2 linked regions of the Oryzias latipes genome follow. The protein of the gene in region 2 binds, or shares a complex with, the protein of the main gene of each other region. Links are inferred from orthologs where the notes say so. Each region holds a gene or a part of one and is shown on either strand. Other genes may lie near its edges. The genes, in order: ints12 and ints2.

Region 1 (3,922 bases), on a different chromosome or scaffold from region 2:
CGGGGGTCGTTGACCTCTTTGTCTGTCACTTGGGGCTTGTGGCAGTCCTGGTGGTACAGATTATGACACTCCTGACACTCCACCAACTGGTTTCCCATGGTCACCGTCATTTGTCTACAGTTCAGAGAAACGCAGACGCAAAAACAGTTGAGTGAAGAGAATTTCATACCAACTCGCACGTTGTAGAAAGAGAAACTGGATCCACAAACCAGAAAAATGTGCAAATAACAAAGAAACTCAAAGTTTCATTTCATTTCATTTGATAATTAACAAGCACCTGCAAACCACACAAGCCAGTCCCATTTCCATGGCAAAGTCGTCAGCATTAGTTTCATCGTAGTCGTGTATGTTGGGCATGAGGTCCTTGCTCGTCTGAACAGTTATAGGGGACGAGCGATTGTCCGGTTTCTCCAAGCGGGACTTTTTTGGAGGATCCACTTCAGACAACTCCACCCGTATCTATTTGTCAATGAGACAGAGAACGTATGAAATTTGAAAATTCATACCAACATTGGTGTTCAATCACACAAGCTGTTATGCTTAAAATAACCACAGATTGAGAAGAAAGTCCCAAGCAATGTCTATTATTATTATTTTAAACTAAGGATGTACATGTTTGTTAGAAATGGACTTGTTCATCTCGCTGTGGCATCATTTAGTTCATAAAATAAAGTAATAATATTCAATTACAAGACCCAGGAAAGCCATAAATCAAGACTTCGATTATTCATAAAAAAAAACAACCTTTAAGTTGCTGATATGTTAAAATAATGACCCATGTATGTTTTCTTTTTCTCTTTCCCTGATCAGGCATCCTTTTTCTGGTGTTAAAAAAAAGTCTCAAATTTTATTCCAAACATTTTTTTTTTGAGTGTTGTCATTTCTTTTTGCATTTGTCAATATTTTATGTCTCTTCAGGGCTTTATTCCTAAATTCTAATGATTGACAATTGTTGCAGCTTTAATTGGAATCAATGTAAATCCTGAAGAGAATTAATGAGTACAGTCCAATCATGGCACATGGTGTCATCTAAACATACATGATAATGTGACAACACTTTTAATCCCCCACCTTCTCTGATGGCCTCTTCTCTGCTTCTTTCTTGCTCTTCTCTGAACTGGATTTGGAACTTCCACTGTTGCTGGAAGATGGAGTGCTCAAAGACTTTGAGTCTTGCTTAGTCAGGCTCAGTTTGGACACAGAACTTTTTGGCATTTCCAAGTCCTAAAGATGAACACAGCAGAAAAGAGGAGCAATAAGCTCCATACGAATGAATTATCACTGACAGCGTAAGACTATCTTTATAAGAAGCGGATCTTACTTTTTGTAATGAGCGGTAGGAGGAGTCACCTCCTCTCGCAAGGGACTCATCGAGTAAAGCTTTGAGTTTCTCTGCTGAATCTTTGTTCTTGGAGTGCAAATAACCCAGAGCCTTTAAAAAAAGGGGGTCCAACTCCAAGCTGACAGGTCCAGCCATGGCCTAGTTAGAAAATGATTGAATAATGTTAGGTTTTCATTGACGTCTGCAAATTACAAATGTACACTTTGCTACAATACAAAACTATTTCATCTTATCTAGATTGCAAATTAAATATACTAACTATAATAAAAAACAAAAACAAAAACAAACATTTATTAAGTCAGTCACACATGTTTATAGGCGTCTGGGAGCATTTACAACAATGAATATCAATGATGAGCATATTTATTCAAAGTTATAGTTTGCTAATTACAATTGTAATCAAATAAAGCAATTTACAATGAACTATAGGCTGTCAAAACTAACAAAAAATACAGCAACCAATAAAAATGTTCATTTTTAAGAGTTTTGCCTAATAATGGGTACACAAAAACGGAACGTTTTTAAGACTAACCAGCTATTTTTCCTTATTTGCGGTATTTATTACAAGAAATCCTGCCTCTGCATTATTTACTACAAATATATAAAGAAATATGATGCCTGTGTCTATTAAAAACAACCCACAATGCTCAAATCCAGTTGGTAGGGTTTAAAGTAATCGTTGGTAGCAGATGGACGGAACAATATCACTGCGACACCGTAGGTAAAGTTATCTTCCCAAATGTCACCAACACGTCAAAATCCCCAGTCTATAGCTTTAAATGGGTAATCCTACCTCACACTCAGTTTCTGCAAAATGTTGGTCTCTGCTGTAGATATTTCTGTTTAATAGAACTCTTTCCACAAAGAGGAAATCGCCGCTGACGTTTTATGTCTTTCACAATGTGCACCCGATAAATGTGTCCGGAATCTAAGTGGGCGGCGCAAGTAGAACAAAAAATATACTTCACGTAATAGCAAAGCGAATTTGTTTTTTGTTTTTTCACTCGTATTTTTAAATAAGTTTTATTCTAACCGACTTTCTATCAATAAATGCATTTAAAATGTATATATTTTAACGACCAGCTGGTGGCGCTGTGGCAATACTCGACTCAATAACTCGTAGTAGAAGAAGAAAAAGCAGCACGCTGATAACGTGATGTTTGTAAAGTAGCCGGTCTGTATGACTTCTTTCTGACTGTTTTATGGCATTATTAGCAGTTGAAAAGACAAATAGTGATAATAAAAAATACTTAAACATATTTCTCCCATTCACAGCATTTACCATGACACACGCCGAACAACCCCCGTGCCTCTACTTAGAAGTTTGCAGCCAAAACGAGCAGCTGCGTCTTCCCCTGCACTCTTCTATAGTTCTGTTTCTGCTGTCTTACTGCGACTGCGAGTCTTTCAGAGTGTTTCTCGTCCTTGGCGACAGCAGCAGCTCCGAGCCTCTGAAGAGCCAGCTTCCAGCATCTGCAAGTCTCTCAGACGTCCAGGTGGACGAGCTGCCCAAACTGGTGAGCAGCTGCCGCCTCCCCGCTGCTCTGGATGAGAGCGCGCAGATCTGCAGGGCCGGACTGGCGGTGGTCCTCAGACACATCATCGACAAGAGCATCGAGGCTGACCCTTCCAGGAAGGATGTAGCAGCTCTGCTGGGCTTCAAAAAGACCTGCTTAAAAGCCTGTGCAGAGGTTGGTGCAATTACACTCTATCACGTCTCTGTAGGTTTGTTTTGGTTGTCAGGATGGAAAAACACAAAAAGTCTTTATGTGTGTTTTGAAAATATGAAAAGACCGTGATGCTTTGCATTAAAGGGCATCAAAGTTATGCAGTTTTACATGAAAGGAACAGCTGTTGTGTTTGTAGGCAAAAAGATGCCACAAAAATGACACCCCCCCAACACAACACCAAGTATCATCTTACAGTTTCAGGTCAATGTTGCCATATGTTACAGAAAAACAGCAACATTAATTATCAGACATTTCCCCCCGGTGACAGGTGGTGCACCTTGCCAACAAATTATGGATGTAATGATTAATTGACTAAAATCGAATTTTATTCCTATGATCCAACCAGATCTTTCTGACGCAAGCTGTTAATTGAATCGACCTATGAAATCATTTCAAAATGAAATAAATTGATTATTATCAATATTGGAAAGTCCCATTTGGATTGAGGCCTTGTGGGTGTATTTTACTATAACATAAAAACTGACAGAGTGCCATTACAGTGGGCAACACACATGTGATGGCAGTAAAAAAAGATACCTACAGTCTTGTCAAATTGACTCCATCATTGAACACCTAAAGGCAGGATTTGTTGCTAGCAGTACAAGATGACCCAGACCAAACTGCATCTACATATACAGTCAGGACCATAAATATTTGGACAGAGACACATTCTTTCTAATTTTGTTTCTGCCTGGAGTTGATTAGAGGACTCGTGCTTGCATTTGGAAGATTTTGCTGTGAACAGACAACATGCAGTCAAAGGAGCTCTCCATGCAGGTGAAAGGAGCCATCATTAAGCTGAGAAAACAGAAAAAAACCATGCCAGAAATTGCTACAGTATTAGGAGTGG
Region 2 (3,922 bases):
ATGTAGAAAATACACTGGGGGGGCCGCAAGCTTCCTGCTCTGACCTCTTAAGGCCCGTACACACCGGGACGAATATTCGCCAGGCGTTATTCGCCAGCGTTTTTCGCCACGTTTTTTGTGTTCACACCCAGGCGATTTTCGCTGACGATGAGTGGAGTGAACATGCAATTTCCTTCCCTGACATTAGATGGCGCTTAATGTAAAACAGAAATACTCCTGTACACAAGGTGGCGCTGCGCAACTTTACGCTTCTTAAAGTCGCTTTTCACTCAGAAGAAGAGAGCAAGTATTTACACGCTTGTCAGAATCAAACAAAGAAAACATGAATATTTCAAGCACCAGTAGCTCCAACTGGTACTTGGTAAGGGGATATTTTAGAATGTCCGTCATTATTGCTTCGCGGCTGTGTAGACGCTACTTGGCGTCTATCTTCTTCGCTGGTATGTGTGCTCAGCAAGGCAGTTTTGTGTTTGAGCGCCCCCAAGTTGTGTTTTACTGTAACTTCAGAAGCTCCAGACACGTGTGCAAAAGCGCCATTCTCATTGGTCGAGTAGATTTCGACGCAACGCGTCGAAAAAAAAAAACGAACCCGAGGCGTTTTTTTTTTTGACGCTTTAACGCTTGGCGTTTTTTCGCGTCGGTGTGCACACTCTCGTTGGTGCCCTTTGTTTAGTCACGAGGCGTTAAACGTCGGCGAAAATCGCCGGCGAAATTCGTCCCGGTGTGAACAGGCCTTTAACCTCTGCTGGAACTATTTTCTAGAAAACAGTTTTTTTTTTAAAAAAATCTCGGCTAAAAACGGCATAATCATAAATCAAAGACCACTGGGAACTTTTTACAATAGATCAAAAGGTGCTCAGAGACTTTAATAGCAAGACAGAATGTTAATACTGAAAAAAGATTTAGAATAAATCATATAAAGGTTTCCCTTTGATGAAAGAGGAATACAAACAAAAGACTGTACCTTATTCATGATGGCCAGCAGTTCACTCAGGGTCAGTCGCAGTCTTCTGAGAGGATCACTGTGTTCAAACTCGAGGGTCAGGCCGTGCTGAAGCTGTGACACCAGAATGCTCTCTCCATTTGAGCCACCTGCCTTGTGTCTGGAAGAAGAGGCTAAATGTTATATATGTACTGCTAAAACAAAGACAGGTAAATACTAAATTACATGACTAACAAAAACAAAAAAGAAGTCAGCCCTACCTCAGCTGTTGCTCCTTCCTTGCATCCTGCTCTAAAGCGTGAAAGTCCACTGACAGAAGCGCGACGATGGAGTTGACGGCTTCCACTCCAGAAAGCAGGCGCAGGATGAGCTTCTTGTCTTGAGCCCAGGACTCACTCTGATCAGCAGGAGCGCATAAAGCCATCCTCACCAAACACGGGAGCAGCAGCCTCAGCTCCGGGTCACTTAGGGCGGCCAGGCGCACCACGTCCACCTTCTGCATGGCTTCAAAGGCATAGGAGCTGACAAACTGCAGCCCGGCACTGTCCCCCATCTCTTTGTGGGCAAGGACACTGTGGGACAAGGAAAACGAGCTGCAGCACACAGCAAATGACTGAAGCACCAGCTTATTTTCAGAAGACGGAGAGATTTTATTCAGATTTTTGCAGTGTTTTAGTCCAGTACGACTACTAAGCTCCTCAGAGAGGTTGGAGTCAGAGGACGGGCAAACAGACAGGCTATCAAAGAACTGACCAACACCGGTTAGAGGACAAGCTGTGGCTGAGGAGAAGTGACATCACATGGACAAAAATGACTAAATAACAGCGAGACAAACACCCAGGCTTGATCAACCTGTGGTTGGTCTACCTCAAAACACCCTAAGATTTTGAGGTACACAACTGACGATGTATCTCGCATGTGAAACCTAATGAACGTCCAAGAATTTCTGAAGTTAAAGTGGTAAATTTTAGGGATTGTAACATCAAGTCGTTTCAACAACATTGCTCCAGGATCACAGAACGTCCTTCCAAGTACTAACCATTTCTCAGCTGATCGTATAATCTGCATTTCACTTTAAACAAACCTATTAATGATTTTTAAGAGCAACCCAAAACAATAATACCAGACAGACCCTGTGAGAGACAACAGATTTTTTTAAGGGTGGCCGAACCCGACCTCTGCTGAAAACAAACCGAACTGAAAAAAAGTACTAAAACAGAGAACTACTTTAGAATATTATAAAAGTCTGGAAAATCTGAAATAAGTAGGATGAACAGTGAAGAGGGTCCATAGATTGACATGATGTAGCTAACACAAAGATGGGTAGCCAATAATGCCTCTAATTACTAAAAACGTTCACTGACGTAAACTGTTTTAGTAAAACATTAGTGCGTTTTTCTCAGTTTGCGGAAAAAAATCAGAAAAGTTTGATTTGGACGTTTCTAGACACAATAATAAGGCGCTAATTCGGCGATGCTAGTAGCTAGCCGGCATTTGAAACACGTCCAGTTGACTTTAGCATGCTAGTAGCGGCTAACGCGAAGCTAAAAAAAAAAAAAGTCAAAAAAAGACTAGTGGAGTCTCTCAGGGGGTTATTTCCGCTGCAATAATACCTATCACCATTATTTCCTTCCATTATCAGAATTCTTACCTCACTTATGGAAAATATTCAGTTTTTCCCAGAGAAATCCAACCATTGGGGCTTTTAGCTCCCGGACTGAGTTGACTGTGAACGTGACGGGTCCTCCTTCGACAGGAGACTGTCCTGAGGGATGCCGGCGGCTTTGCGACAGCTGCGAGGGTTTACGTCCTCTGTAAACTCCCCAAAAAGCTGTCACAATTATAATAATTGTGACAGAATTGAGTTATTATATAATTGAATTATTGAATTAATAATTATTATTATTAAACCCTATTTCTCTGAGCTCAATTTCACATTTGATTCCCATTTAACCAGATATCCACCAGTGACAAAGTATATCCCAACATGTTGATCTTTTCCTATAAATATATAACAAATAAACAAATAAATATGCGTCCCAATACTCCTTTAGAGAAAGAGGTGATGGAAGGACACAAGTAAAAGTGAAATAAATAGTACACAGTCATCATTAGAAAGTATTAAAAAAAATCCCAACAGTCTTTGTTTTTTGGATCTACCTTGTACTAATTTAGCTACTTCAATCAATCAATCAATCAATCAATCAATCAATCAATCAATCAATCAATCAATCAATCAATCAATCAATCAATCAATCAATCAATCCGTGGAGCAACTATCACCCAAATGTGTTGGACATCAGGTGCTGGACATAAAGACATACATAAACATTGATTGAAAACCATAAAAAGTCATTAACCACAAAAGACTTAAAACAACAACAATCAAAAGATAAATATAAAAAGGCTAGGAAAGGCTCAAGGCTAAAGGTTTGAGAAGAAACTGTATGGATTATTAAAAGATGGAACGGGTAAAAATGATAAACCATAAAAGCTACAAAAAAAAAAGACATTAAATGAGTTACATAAATAATAACTTAAAAAGGCAAGTAAATCATTTACATTTAAATATGTCCACAGATGCAGAAACTCTCAGGTAAATTTTAACACAGATGTGGACTGTGGTCCTGAATAGACCTCGCTGTGAGTCCTGCATCTCATAGATTTGAAATCCACTAAGATATTTAAAAACTAGGAGAATCTTCAAATTAGTCCTAGCCAGTGCAGAGAATAGTTACACAGCAAAAACTTAAAATAAGTCACATTTTTAAACCTCTTTGGCAGAAGAAGAAAAAAAAAAATCCAGTGTTGGTCCTTAGGCAACACCATTCACTGCTGCCCATCTGGGTCTCCCTGTGCCTCGTGTCAGGAAGGGCACCTGACATTTAAACAAACAACAAATCTCTATACCAAACCACTGAAAAGCTGTAGTTACCCATAACAGCACAAGCCGAAAAGTTAAAATACTAACTGCATCTC

What was found.
Region 1: ints2 (region 2) and ints12 share a complex: the UniProt entries of both Homo sapiens proteins name them as parts of the integrator complex. The link is inferred for Oryzias latipes from reciprocal best matches to the Homo sapiens genes INTS2 and INTS12.

The regions. Positions count from the first base shown.
Region 1 is NC_019859.2:15,819,917-15,823,838, forward strand, and holds the start of ints12 (integrator complex subunit 12), read right to left. Parts: upstream 2,628-3,922; coding exon 2,625-2,627; exon of another isoform or gene 2,618-2,624; intron 2,517-2,617; exon of another isoform or gene 2,361-2,516; intron 2,255-2,360; exon of another isoform or gene 2,136-2,254; intron 1,481-2,135; coding exon 1,322-1,480; intron 1,225-1,321; coding exon 1,072-1,224; intron 460-1,071; coding exon 278-459; intron 115-277; coding exon 1-114. Other genes in the region: gstcd (glutathione S-transferase C-terminal domain-containing protein), read left to right, coding at 2,626-3,033. UniProt on the Homo sapiens protein: Component of the integrator complex, a multiprotein complex that terminates RNA polymerase II (Pol II) transcription in the promoter-proximal region of genes.
Region 2 is NC_019872.2:22,025,016-22,028,937, reverse strand, and holds the start of ints2 (integrator complex subunit 2), read right to left. Parts: upstream 2,812-3,922; 5' UTR 2,595-2,811; intron 1,537-2,594; 5' UTR 1,497-1,536; coding exon 1,204-1,496; intron 1,104-1,203; coding exon 965-1,103; intron 1-964. UniProt on the Homo sapiens protein: Component of the integrator complex, a multiprotein complex that terminates RNA polymerase II (Pol II) transcription in the promoter-proximal region of genes.